Linked DNA regions of Drosophila melanogaster. The protein of the gene in region 2 interacts with the protein of the main gene of each other region in a pairwise test. Each region holds a gene or a part of one and is shown on either strand. Other genes may lie near its edges.

Region 1 (4,844 bases), on a different chromosome or scaffold from region 2:
ACATGTACTTATTACTCTGCACCACATTTTTCACTCACAATGTGTTCCAGTTATAAAAGTTAAAAAAAAAAAACAAACAAACAAATCAAAATCGAGGAAAACATGACGTGCAACTTGAAGCGTGCAAATCAATTCAACCTATTTTTATCATATTTTTGTTTCATGATGTGTACATTTTAGTCCTTTAATTTATTCCAAAGGTTTGGAAATTTCGCGCGTGACGAAGAGAGAGAGTTATACATAGTACTTCATAGTTATAATTATATAAAACTCTAGTACCTAATTTTATGAAATCATGTTGTATATACTATATGCTGTATATTGTTATACATAAACCTTTAAATAAAAACTGCTACCAAATACAGTGTCCCAGCGTTTAGTATTTATTCCAACGATCATATATCGGATTGACAAAAAATGAGTATAATCGTTGTGAGGTTCTTTGGAGGTGTTCGCTTTTCGAAGTTCCCTATACTTTGGTAACACGTTGCATTAGTCTTTTAACATCATGGTCGTTCTTCTTGGTTTGGCATTAATTATGGTGTGCATGGTCTTGTGGTTCTTAAGGGCAGAGTTTCTGTTGAAGATCTTGGGGCATCGGGGACACTTGTAGGATCGCATTAATTATGGTGCATGGTCTTGTGGTTCTTAAGGGCAGAGTTTCTGTTGAAGATCTTGGGGCATCGGGGACACTTGTAGGATCGCATTAATTATGGTGCATGGTCTTGTGGTTCTTAAGGGCAGAGTTTCTGTTGAAGATCTTGGGGCATCGGGGACACTTGTAGGATCGCATTAATTATGGTGCATGGTCTCGTGGTTCTTAAGGGCTGAGTTTCTGTTGAAGATCTTGGGGCATCGGGGACACTTGTAGGATCGCATTAATTATGGTGCATGGTCTTGTGGTTCTTAAGGGCAGAGTTTCTGTTGAAGATCTTGGGGCATCGGGGACACTTGTAGGATCGCATTAATTATGGTGCATGGTCTTGTGGTTCTTAAGGGCAGAGTTTCTGTTGAAGATCTTGGGGCATCGGGGACACTTGTAGGATCGCATTAATTATGGTGCATGGTCTCGTGGTTCTTAAGGGCAGAGTTTCTGTTGAAGATCTTGGGGCATCGGGAACACTTGTAGGATCGTAATTCAGGTCTCGAACTATGTACGCGCTCATGGCGCCTAAGACCGCGGATTTGTGCGTAGGACTGGGAGCATTGTAAGCATTTGTAAGGTTTTTCACGCGCATGGACCCACATGTGACACTTAAGGTGCGCAGGTAACATGAAATACTTCCCGCAAATGTTACATTTATGTGTCTTCTTCAGCATTTTCTTCTTGGTATCCTTCTGGGCGCTGCTCTGGCTCACATTGCCATTCCCGTTGGAGTTTGAGTTGGGGCACATATTCTCCACGTTGTCCCCCGGTGAATCGATTGTCAAGTCAATTGTCTCCATCTCCTGGCTGCCATCGACTGGCTCAATCAGTTCAACATCGGAGTCATTCGATCCTTCTTCCTCATAATTCATCTCACTGACCACCATCTCATCCTGCTCAATCACCTGCACGCTGTCCATCCCGTAAGCAGTCTGCGCATCCAGCGCACAAGACTGGCAAATGGTCTTGGGAAAAGGATCCTTCGGTAGAACCGGGAAGCCGCACCAATCGGAAATCATGGTCGCTAGGGAAACGCCGGGTAGCGGCATCGTTTCGAAGATGCATAGCATGTTCTCCATCTCCCTCAAACAGACACGGCACATCCTGGAATCCATTGCTTTTAGTTAAATTTAATTTTTTGACATGTATCACGTTGGGATGGGAATGATAGTTTGGAAACACGTGCTAGGAACGACCGTTAGGGACAATAAAAACCGATAGTTTTTGAAGCTTTAGATCATCGATACTGCCGGAACTATCGATAGCTTCTTTTAATGTTTTGCCGGCTCTAGTGCCAATACCAATAAAACGCCGGCCAACGCACCAACGAGAAAACCGTAAGAGGAGGACATGGCCCTGCCCTCGATCTCCACGCTTCTAGGCGTTGCATTTCTGGCGTACATCGGCCACTCCATCTACCAGATGTCGCAGCTCTTCACTACGCTGCAATGCAGCGGTGTGCCGTGCTACACATCATTCCTGGCGGACAGGCCACGCCTGCAACTGGCATTGTTTTCCTCCCTCAGCAGAAGTCCCATTGCCACCGAGGTGCGGGATCTGTACAAGGCCAAGAGGTTCGACTATGATCAAAACTTTGAGCACGACTTCGAAGTGGATGTGCCGCTGAGGACGCGCCGGAATGGCTCCCTGTATCTTCATGTGGTCTTGGCCTTGGAGGGTGAGCCACTGGAATGGCGTAGCCTGCGCAGAGATGGGCCCACCGTTGTCCATACGATGAGTCTCACGGATTACATAGTGCCGCGGGCGGAGGCCTTTAAACTGCTTGGAGATTCCGAGAAAGGTGCAGCAGCCGCTGTCCAGGAGAAAGAAAAGAAGAAAGCCTCCACCACTGGACGTCCCAGCACCCACATCCGATCGAATGTTTACGTCACCCTGCTCAACGATCTCTATTCCGTTTCGCAAGCGGATGTCCCACCTGAAATGGCCCCCTTGATACGTGTCAATCGCAATCAACAGATCTTGCCCATCCTGCAGACTGATACATTTAATACGCGGCTAAAGGATCTAGTGCCCGTCACCCGCAATACCACCGAATTCACATTCAGCTTCCACTACAAGCCCGTGGGCGTGGGCAAGCTCCGTCTAATGCTGCTCATGGAACACGCCACCCAGGCGCTGCTCACCATTGGATTTGCTACCAAGGATATTGACGAGGTGAAAGGCATCTTTTCGGACACCAATGTATACCTTTTGTGTGGCACCATCTTTGTGTCCAGCATCCATGTGAGTAGAGATTGAAAAATTGCAACATACGTCATATGCTCCAGTCCTATAACTAATTTATGTTTCCCTTTTCCCGCAGATGCTCTTCGACTTTTTAAGCTTTAAGAACGACGTGGCCTTTTGGCGCAAAAAGCAGTCGTACGAGGGGCTATCAAGCCGCACCACAATGTGGCGAGCGTTTTCGCAGATCGTGATCTTTTTTTATCTGCTAGATGAGAATACGTCGTATCTGGTACTTGTGCCAGTTGGCCTGGGCACGCTCATTGAGCTGTGGAAGTGCAAGAAAATCTTCCGTCTGGAGCTTAGCTTCAGTGGCCTGGTTCGTCGCAAGCTGGAGCAAGTTGACCGGCGGAATGGTGACCAAGCTGGCGTGAAGTCAGGTCAGCTGGCGGAGGAGCAGAAGACTGATCAGTTTGACAGACAGGGCATGCGATATCTGAGCTATCTGCTGTATCCGCTTTGTATATGCGGAGCGGTCTATTCGCTCCTCTACCAACCACACCGCTCCTGGTACTCATGGACACTTAACTCACTGGTGAACGGAGTTTACGCCTTCGGTTTCCTGTTCATGTTGCCGCAACTGTTTGTAAACTACAAGCTGAAGTCTGTGGCCGCATTGCCGTGGCGCGCATTTATGTATAAAGCATTTAATACCTTCATCGACGACTTCTTCGCCTTCATCATCACCATGCCCACGGCCCATCGGGTGGCCTGCCTGCGCGATGATATTGTGTTTATTATCTATCTGTATCAGCGCTGGCTGTATCCGGTTGACAAGAGTCGGCTGGACACGGGTCTGTCCATTAGCGAGACCCCGGATACGGGCAACAGCTCATCCGCTTCCATTGCTGCCAATCGCAAGAAGCGAAATTGATCCTATATCAGCAAAAGGAGTAAAGGTTGCACATTCCGCCTATAGCTTGAGGTCTAGCCCGAGACGTAGTAATCCGAGTCCGTCTTTAGTTTACTAGTGATATTAATCCTGTGTTGTAGTCTAAACCGTTTAAAGCTTGTGCGTAAATCGTTAAGTTAAGAAGCATCAACTGAAAATGCGTTTTATACAATTTTAAATCAACAGCATCAAAGGATTGCAGAACTATGGAACTTACTAAAACACATAATTTTAAAGTATAAATTATGAAATATTGTGAGATGACTCAAACGCTGGCCTTTCACATTGTTAGATTGGTCAGCTAAAACCCTACAATAATATATCCAAATGTAGATCAAAACGTATTTTAGAAACAATCAGTTAACATGAAATCGTATAGGATCGTAAGGCTACAAGTGATTCTAAAATCTCAATTAACCAACAAATGCATTTTCTAAAATTTAAAGGGAACCCAAAAGTATCAAAAGGCTAAATATATATAAAGTCAACTGAAATCACTCGTAATAAAAATTAAACTTTAGTGTTTCTAAAAGTGAACCGAATCAAATTTTATAGACAGTTTTATATTTGTATGCCATTTTATTAGCTTACAGTTAAGTCCAATATTTGTGCTGGATGTGGGTATTTGGGACAACTGCAAAGGGGATTTTCGTTTTGGAACGGGATGGAGTTCGGCTTGTCGGAAAAAAAGGAAATATTTTAAGCTTAAACTAAACTGGCGAAGGAAAAAGAGTTTGCCGTGCGCACGGTTTATGGAGGTCTCTTGACGGTGGACTCCACGAATTGGCTGGTGGAGATGATCAGCTCATCATTCACCTAGCCGTTGCGTATGCCCAGCGCCTGCTCCAATTCGGCCCGCTTCTGGTTGACCTTGGTGAAGAAGTAGCGCGAAACGGCCTCGTGCGTCCATGGCTGGTAATAGAACTCCGCCCGACGCTCCTCCTCCGGATTGCCAGCTACATCGGTCATCAGCTGAAAGGACGAAAGGTTTAGACAACGGTATGAGGCAAAAAAGAAAAAAAAAGAACTAACCTTCAAATCCCTCGTCTCACTGATGATCCA
Region 2 (7,488 bases):
AAACAAAACTAAAGCTACTCTTTAATTAATAATATGTAAGCCAACAAAAAATACAGGCATATAAACAATTAAATGGTATAATCGAAATGAAAGAAAAAGAGAACTATAATAATTAAAAAAAAAAAAACCGTTGTTGTATTCTACTGACAGATAACTTTATATTTGCTGTGCCATCCTTTTTTCCTTTTTAGAAATGTAAAATCAGCCAATTCAAAGTGTTTTAAATGTCTGGGCTCATATCCACTATCTTGTCCTGGCAGACAAGTTTCATATTTTATTTATATAAGCCCCAACTCTTATATTATATTGCCTGTACTTAGGTGAAAGTTAGGGAAAGCAGTGCGCGGCAACGGGTTGGTCGAACTGCAAATGACTTTTGGCCTGCCCTCTCTGCGTGCAATAAAACTAAATGAATTGGAAACTTGCACAAAAATTCAACCAAACTGCTGACGAGGATGCCGCCGTCGCCTGATGACAGAGTCCTGGGCAAAAGGCAAAACTTCAAAATGCCAAACAAAACGCCCCGAATCTGATGTCATGCCCAATGTTCATAAAGAGCAAGGCAAACGAAAATCTCCCCCATTTTCCACTTTCTTGGCCATTTTTCTCGGCTTTCGTCAACAATTGGCAGCCAAAGTTTTGACTGGGAATGCCTTTGCAGCACGTGCTCTGTGTTTTCCCTTCCTTTGAATTCATGAGATACTCGATGTAGAAAATGTTGTAGGGTCCCTGACAAAGAAATGCCAACTCCGACCCTAGATTTTATATCCAACAACCACCAGTATTCATTGTTTGTTTAGGACTTTGTTTTGATTAAGTGCCAAAAAATTGTTTCGAATTATTTACATAAAAATTGAGAAATTGAATGCATGCAATGGATTTGATTTGTTTGCCTCGCGATTCGATTTTCCAAGCGTCTCATATACATTCGCTATATTTGTTTGCTCTTAATATATATCGCACCAACGCTGGGATAGGAAAATACACATTTTATGAGCCGCAAAGCTTTGATAGATTTTCCCGCACATAGCCATAAAAGTTAGGCCCCGGGGCACTAATAAAATCTCCCTTTGACTGATCATAAAACCACGGCATCATGTCCAATTTCGTGACTTGATGTCTGGGGCTCAACGGCGTACAAAGTGGTTGCACAAATTAATTTTAAGCAATTCGGATGTTTTCGCTACAGTAATAAAAGTTTTGCAGAGAAAATCGCACCATATAGTGGCAGTTACATCCAATTATGGTGCGCTGCAATGTAAATAAAATGCATTCATGCAGGAACATATGCATAGTATGCATATGCCAAGTTTTTAAATAGCAAAGTTATATTTGTATATAGTCTCAATTTTACAGAAATACCACGTTAAATCGTTTTCTCACTTAAGGGCACCGAGCGTTTCTAATCCGGAAAATTAGGTTCAGTATAATAAATTTCTGTTCTTATTCTTTGAGCGACCACTTCACCTTTTCCGAGCTGCCTTGACTTAAATTGATTGTGGTTGTCGGTTTAGTTGGGTTTTAAGTGGGCGACAAGGTCGGCATTGCATTGTCCTTTGGCTCTGTTAACATAATAATCAAACAATTTGCCGCCATGGGCAAATTAATACGCCACTAAATAAGATAAACTGCATGGCACTCCAGAATTATTTGCATTTTTATTACCCTTTTGCCGGGGGACCCTTCATATAAGGCCGAAAATCAGCAGCGCGCCGCCGCAGAGAACCGAAAAGCAACCGGTAGTTGTTCGCTGCCGACGTCGCTGTTGCGTCGCTGTTAACGGCAACGACCGTGGCCCGAACGGACTTCGTTGCCAAGATATTTTGGCCAAAAACCCAGTCAGTCGGATGCTGCGGCCCGTTGCTGTAGCCGCCGCCGTCGCTCTTTCGGTTCTTACGTTTTCGGATCATTTGACGACGAAATAAAACGAGATATCGGGAAAACCATCAATTTACGCGTGCCCCTCAGTCATAATTTTACGATTCGGAGAATCATTTTACGTACCAGAATTAATCAGTGCCATACGCAAATAGTTAAAGCCATTAATTCTGTGAGCGTGTATATCAAATTAAGCCCAACACGTTGCGGTCATTAATCAACATTTAGCACATGGTAAAAAACTGATTAGCTATATTGCAATAAAACACCTTAAAAACAAAACGAAATCACATCTCAGAGAAAGTGAGTGAAAGAATGGGGGGAGCACAGAGAGTGCAATGCTCGCAAATGCGAAGGCAGAGTGACAAAATCAAAACAGTTCAAAGCCATAAAAAATAAATGCATTCTGAAAAATGTGGCAGGCATCGTTTGATAAATTTAAATTAAACGTGTTTTAAATGCACAAACGATAGCCAGCCGAGTGTCGAGATATATAATTAATTGCCATTAGGCGGAATGAAAAGTTCCGAACAGGAGCACCGAAACAGTTGTAAACAAGTTGAAAATAAATAAGGCATTATCGGGGGCCTCAAGATCTACAGATTGCCAGTGAAATCCATTGACCCGAAACACTAATGGTGCAGAATCTATAATAACATATTATGCCTCAATGCGAACCGGCTTGCCAAGCGCAAAATATGGAAAATAATAGTAAACCAAATACAAAACTCACACTTTATGGACATGGGCGGGTGCATGGGCATAATTTTTTTCGGTGGGATGCCACACGGTCGATCATCGGAATCATCGGACAACGAAACGAAAACAGAAAAATGAATAAATGAAAACCAGTTTTATCGAATATACAATATAATAAAACCTAATTCGACAGCATTCTTTTGGTTGTGCATATATTGTAGAAACTTTTTTATGATAATGATAATGAAAACGTCCAAAAACGGTCAACAGCGGTCAGCAGCAACAATAACGAAAAGTATAGCCAGAATGTGAACAGAACAGAGCAGAACAGCAGCAGCCGAAAACACTCATCATCTGAATGGAATGAAACTATGTTAATGTTATTAAGTCACCCGGTGTCCATTTGCCATCGTCGTCTCCTTATCCGTCTTATCCACCACCTGACCTTGAGCTTCTGGCTCGTTTCATTCGTTTGCCACCTGGTGTTGGGTGGGAGACGGATCGGCAGGCCTGTCCTTCTCAGCCTTGTAGCAACATCCTTAAATTCATCCAGTGTACACAAATATTTTGACTAAATGCCACTTAGCAATTCAAATTAATTTTCAGCTTCCACTCGCCCTGATCCTGGTCTTTCGCCTAGGACACGCCTGACTGCCGCCTGCCAGTTTCCCAGGATGCCAGGTAAACACACAGGACACAAACACGCTTTAAGACGGGCTCTCTAAGGTGGACCTTAGCAAGCTAAACAAAGCGCACAGCTTACCAACCAAATTGTGTATATGTATAATTTATGGTAATTTAGAAATCTGGAGTAAAAAGCCTTAATGTTTGAATTTGTTTTATTACTAAATTCGTTAAAATGCGTTATTTGTCTTGTATTATTTTATTTAAATTTTAACAAATTTTGAAAAACATAGTTTTATTTAAATAGCACATAGGGTCCACCTTATCACACACATCCGTACACATAATTTAATCCCACACTCATGACAACAGATTGCAAGTGGAGTGGCTCTGGCCTAAGTCGAAATTGATGAGCCCCCGTAAGGGGCGTTATGAAAACATTATTTGCAAGCGAAAGCTTCGATTGAGAATACATACGCAGAAGTCTGAAATTTCCAAAGAAATTCGAAAATAATAGTGCGTATACACACACACAAAGACACACACCCTATGGCAGTCAAAATGCTGCCCACTAACAGTTCCGGTGTCCTGGCAACCGATCTACAACTGTTTCACAATGAGAAATTTCTCTTAAATCTGACACAAGTGCTGAACATCTCCGCGGACAACCTGACCAGCCTTCTCCAGGGCCTGGAGCCGGAGGAGCTTTTGCCCACGGTGACCCCGATGACACCACTTTCACTGCTGGCCACCCTAAGCGTGGGCTACGCCCTCATATTTATCGCCGGCGTTTTGGGCAACCTCATCACATGCATTGTCATTTCGCGGAACAACTTTATGCACACGGCCACCAACTTTTATCTGTTTAACCTCGCTATATCCGACATGATTTTGTTATGCTCAGGTGAGTGCAAAACTAAAATGTTCATGGTTTTTGAATTATAATTTAATTCAGTTCAGTAGTGCAAACAATAAATGGAACTGAGGCATATTAAATTAAAATTTGTAAATAAACAAGAAAATGTAGAGTGAGATATTCGGCAGATGCTCAAATCGATTTGCATTTTGAGGCTATAGGCTATAATTTCAGCTATTATTAAATATTTATAATCACACTATATATTTTGCTATTTTGCTATTTATGTTCTTAGGAATGCCGCAGGACCTCTATAACCTCTGGCACCCGGATAATTATCCTTTCAGTGACAGCATCTGCATATTGGAGAGCGTTCTCTCGGAAACGGCGGCCAATGCGACAGTTCTAACCATTACCGCGTTCACAGTCGAACGATATATTGCCATTTGTCATCCGTTCAGGTAAGGGAACCTTCATTCCTTCCACTGCCCATTTCCATTTTGCCCCAAACTTGCTTAATTGGTTCTGCTTTCGATACAGGCAGCACACGATGTCCAAGTTGTCACGGGCCGTAAAGTTCATATTTGCCATCTGGATAGCTGCCCTTTTGCTGGCCCTGCCCCAAGCCATTCAGTTCTCCGTGGTGATGCAGGGCATGGGAACATCGTGCACGGTGCGTATGATTGATGCGAGACCCTTAATCGTATGTCCCCCAGTTATGAGTTACCTGGTTAATTGATTCGTAGAACCGGTCCTTTGATCCTTTGATTCATTATGTGTTTTCCGTATAGAAAGTTCGAATAGAGAGCCTTTGTGAATTACAAAAAATTTAAGAGCATGATAAAAACAGCGACAATCCCTTACGAGGTTCGACTCAGTTTAGGCAATCAAATTTACAGCCATTGCCTTCCGGCTGTGGCTGTAAGCCAAAACCATATCGTATCGCATGCGAATACACATATATATTATTTTTGTGAAATGCCTGCTGTAGATGAAAAACGACTTTTTTGCCCATGTGTTTGCTGTGTCGGGCTTCCTGTTCTTTGGCGGACCCATGACGGCCATCTGCGTGCTCTATGTCCTCATCGGGGTGAAGTTGAAACGGAGCCGACTCCTGCAGGCGCTTCCCAGGCGATGTTACGATGTAAACCGGGGGATAAGCGCCCAAACGCGAGTCATCCGGATGCTGGGTAAGCAGGATATGAAATATCCGAAATAACTCATGGTTGCATCAGGCGCCCTTATCCAACTTTCCCAGTGGCGGTGGCCGTGGCCTTCTTCATCTGCTGGGCCCCCTTTCACGCCCAGCGGCTGATGGCGGTCTATGGATCCACCTCGGGCATTGAGTCCCAGTGGTTCAACGACGTGTTCAGCATCCTCGACTATACGTCCGGTGTTCTCTACTTCCTCTCAACTTGCATCAACCCGCTGCTCTACAACATCATGAGCCACAAGTTTCGTGAGGCTTTTAAGGTGAGTTTCGCTGCCGGATATTCATTTCTATAGCTTGCGTTAGGAAATTGAAAATAAGCTTCAGGTTACAAGTTTATTAATCGATTCTTTAACGGTCAATTTAGTGATTTTAAACTTCAAGCTAGAATTAAAAAACGTATTTAATCCCATTTTAGGTAACTTTGGCTAGACACTTTGGACTTGGTGGCAAAAATCAGGGAAGGGGGCTTCCTCATACTTACAGCGCTCTTCGACGTAATCAAACGGGTTCACTGCGGCTGCACACAACGGTGAGTGCACTGAGAAAAATTACATAATTATCATTCGATATATGCACTTAAATTCTATTATGTGGCATTATTTAAGAGGAAAATGAAAAGGATTAATATAGTGTATGTCCTGTTTCTCAAAATGAAATTTGAATCACGAGACTTTTTAAAACCACTATAAGATGTTTATTGCGTTACTTATTTTCGTGTCTGGCGACTGCACTTTCCCTTTCTGATTATCCCTCCATTCCTTGATTTCCTCCTGCAGGACAGCGTTCGCACCACAATGACTTCCATGGCGACGACCACCACTGGGCTAAATGGCTCTGCCAATGGCAGTGGCAATGGAACGACAACGGGTCAGTCGGTGCGCCTGAACCGCGTGTCCTTGGACAGTGTCCAGATGCAGGGTCAGAATCGCAGCCGGCAAGACCTCTTCGATAATCCGCGTCGCATGCTCCAGACGCAAATATCGCAGCTGTCATCGGTGGGCGATGCCCATTCCCTCTTGGAGGAGGATTTGCAGTTTCCCGGGGAGCCACTGCAGCGCCAGCCCACGATGTGCTCCATTGACGAGCTCACAGATGACTTGGCCATCTCGCGGTCACGCCTTAAACTTACGCGCATCACCCGCCCACCAGGAGGTGTGACGGGGGGCGTGGCAGGAGGCAGCACAACAGGGGCCGCGGGGTCGGGGGGCGTGAGCGGTGACGAGTCGAGTGGCAAAGTGCGCAAGGCGAAAGTGAAAGTGCTCAAGAGCTCAAGCCCGTTCAAGGGTCTCAGGACCAAATTCAATTGGCGTGCCAGACGCAAAGGCAGCCACAAACCGCACGAAAAGGGGGCGACGGTGAATGGAGGCGACACTGAAGAGCGGGCCGCCTTTTAAAGGGGGTCAGCATATCCTCTATCTGTACTCGATAAGCGAGGTAGTCCATTCCAGTGCCACCTACGTACATTACACACACACACAACTGTGATACGAGCAGCAAGCGCCACTCCAGCTTGTTTGTGTTTTAATTTAGACAAATATTCCGCGTTTGGGGTCAATTATATGGTTGTCCTTACCAATAACCGTAATATAGCCCAAAGCTATAGTTCGAATTATAGTTATAGTGCACGTAATCGAATAAACTATGTAGTTATGTACTCAGTTCAAAAATTCGACCGTTGTTTCATTTATAAAGTGGAGTTTAATAAAAAAAGAATGGACTTTTGATAAAAATAAAATGAATCTACATAGTTAAGCGTAAATAGTATTTGGAGTACAGTGATATATAAATACATATTAAGGTTGATACCCTAATGGTTTTATTATACAATTTAAATATAAAAGCGATCTCAGTTTTTTAAACAGCTGACCGACTTTGTTAGCAGTCCAATAGAAACTGTTATCTAATGTCAGTTTTTCAATATCCATTAATAACATTTCTCTTGCAGTAAATATTTTTTTCCCATTTAATGAATACATTTTTTTTTTTTGAAAGAGTGTGGATCAAGTGGGGATTATCAAGAAGAGGGTTCAATGGGCGTCTGGCTAATTACTGTCAGTAAAAAGCGGGCACTGCATCATAATCCCTGGCCATTAAGATGTTTATCTGGCGCACAAATTCGCTTTTTGGTCTGGAGTCTAGACAGTGGATGAAAGCCATTCTCGCGATTGGCCAACATTCGCTGAAAGCCGCTGTTGGTGACTAATTAGCAGCATGCCAT

What was found.
Region 1: the proteins of PK2-R2 (region 2) and CG4332 interact in a two-hybrid assay, tested with the Drosophila melanogaster proteins (one large-scale study listed by BioGRID).

What each region holds. Positions count from the first base shown.
Region 1 is NC_004354.4:13,153,100-13,157,943, forward strand, and holds CG4332 (uncharacterized protein), read left to right. Parts: upstream 1-1,938; 5' UTR 1,939-1,996; coding exon 1,997-2,890; intron 2,891-2,969; coding exon 2,970-3,764; 3' UTR 3,765-4,273; downstream 4,274-4,844. Other genes in the region: CG4318 (uncharacterized protein), read right to left, coding at 1,051-1,761; Bap60 (brahma associated protein 60kD), read right to left, coding at 4,599-4,754, 4,815-4,844.
Region 2 is NT_033777.3:13,328,514-13,336,001, reverse strand, and holds PK2-R2 (pyrokinin 2 receptor 2), read left to right. Parts: upstream 1-1,835; 5' UTR 1,836-2,112; intron 2,113-3,163; 5' UTR 3,164-3,258; exon of another isoform or gene 3,259-3,573; 5' UTR 3,574-3,750; coding exon 3,751-4,105; intron 4,106-4,352; coding exon 4,353-4,518; intron 4,519-4,597; coding exon 4,598-4,730; intron 4,731-5,048; coding exon 5,049-5,247; intron 5,248-5,315; coding exon 5,316-5,530; intron 5,531-5,685; coding exon 5,686-5,799; intron 5,800-6,046; coding exon 6,047-6,664; 3' UTR 6,665-6,932; downstream 6,933-7,488.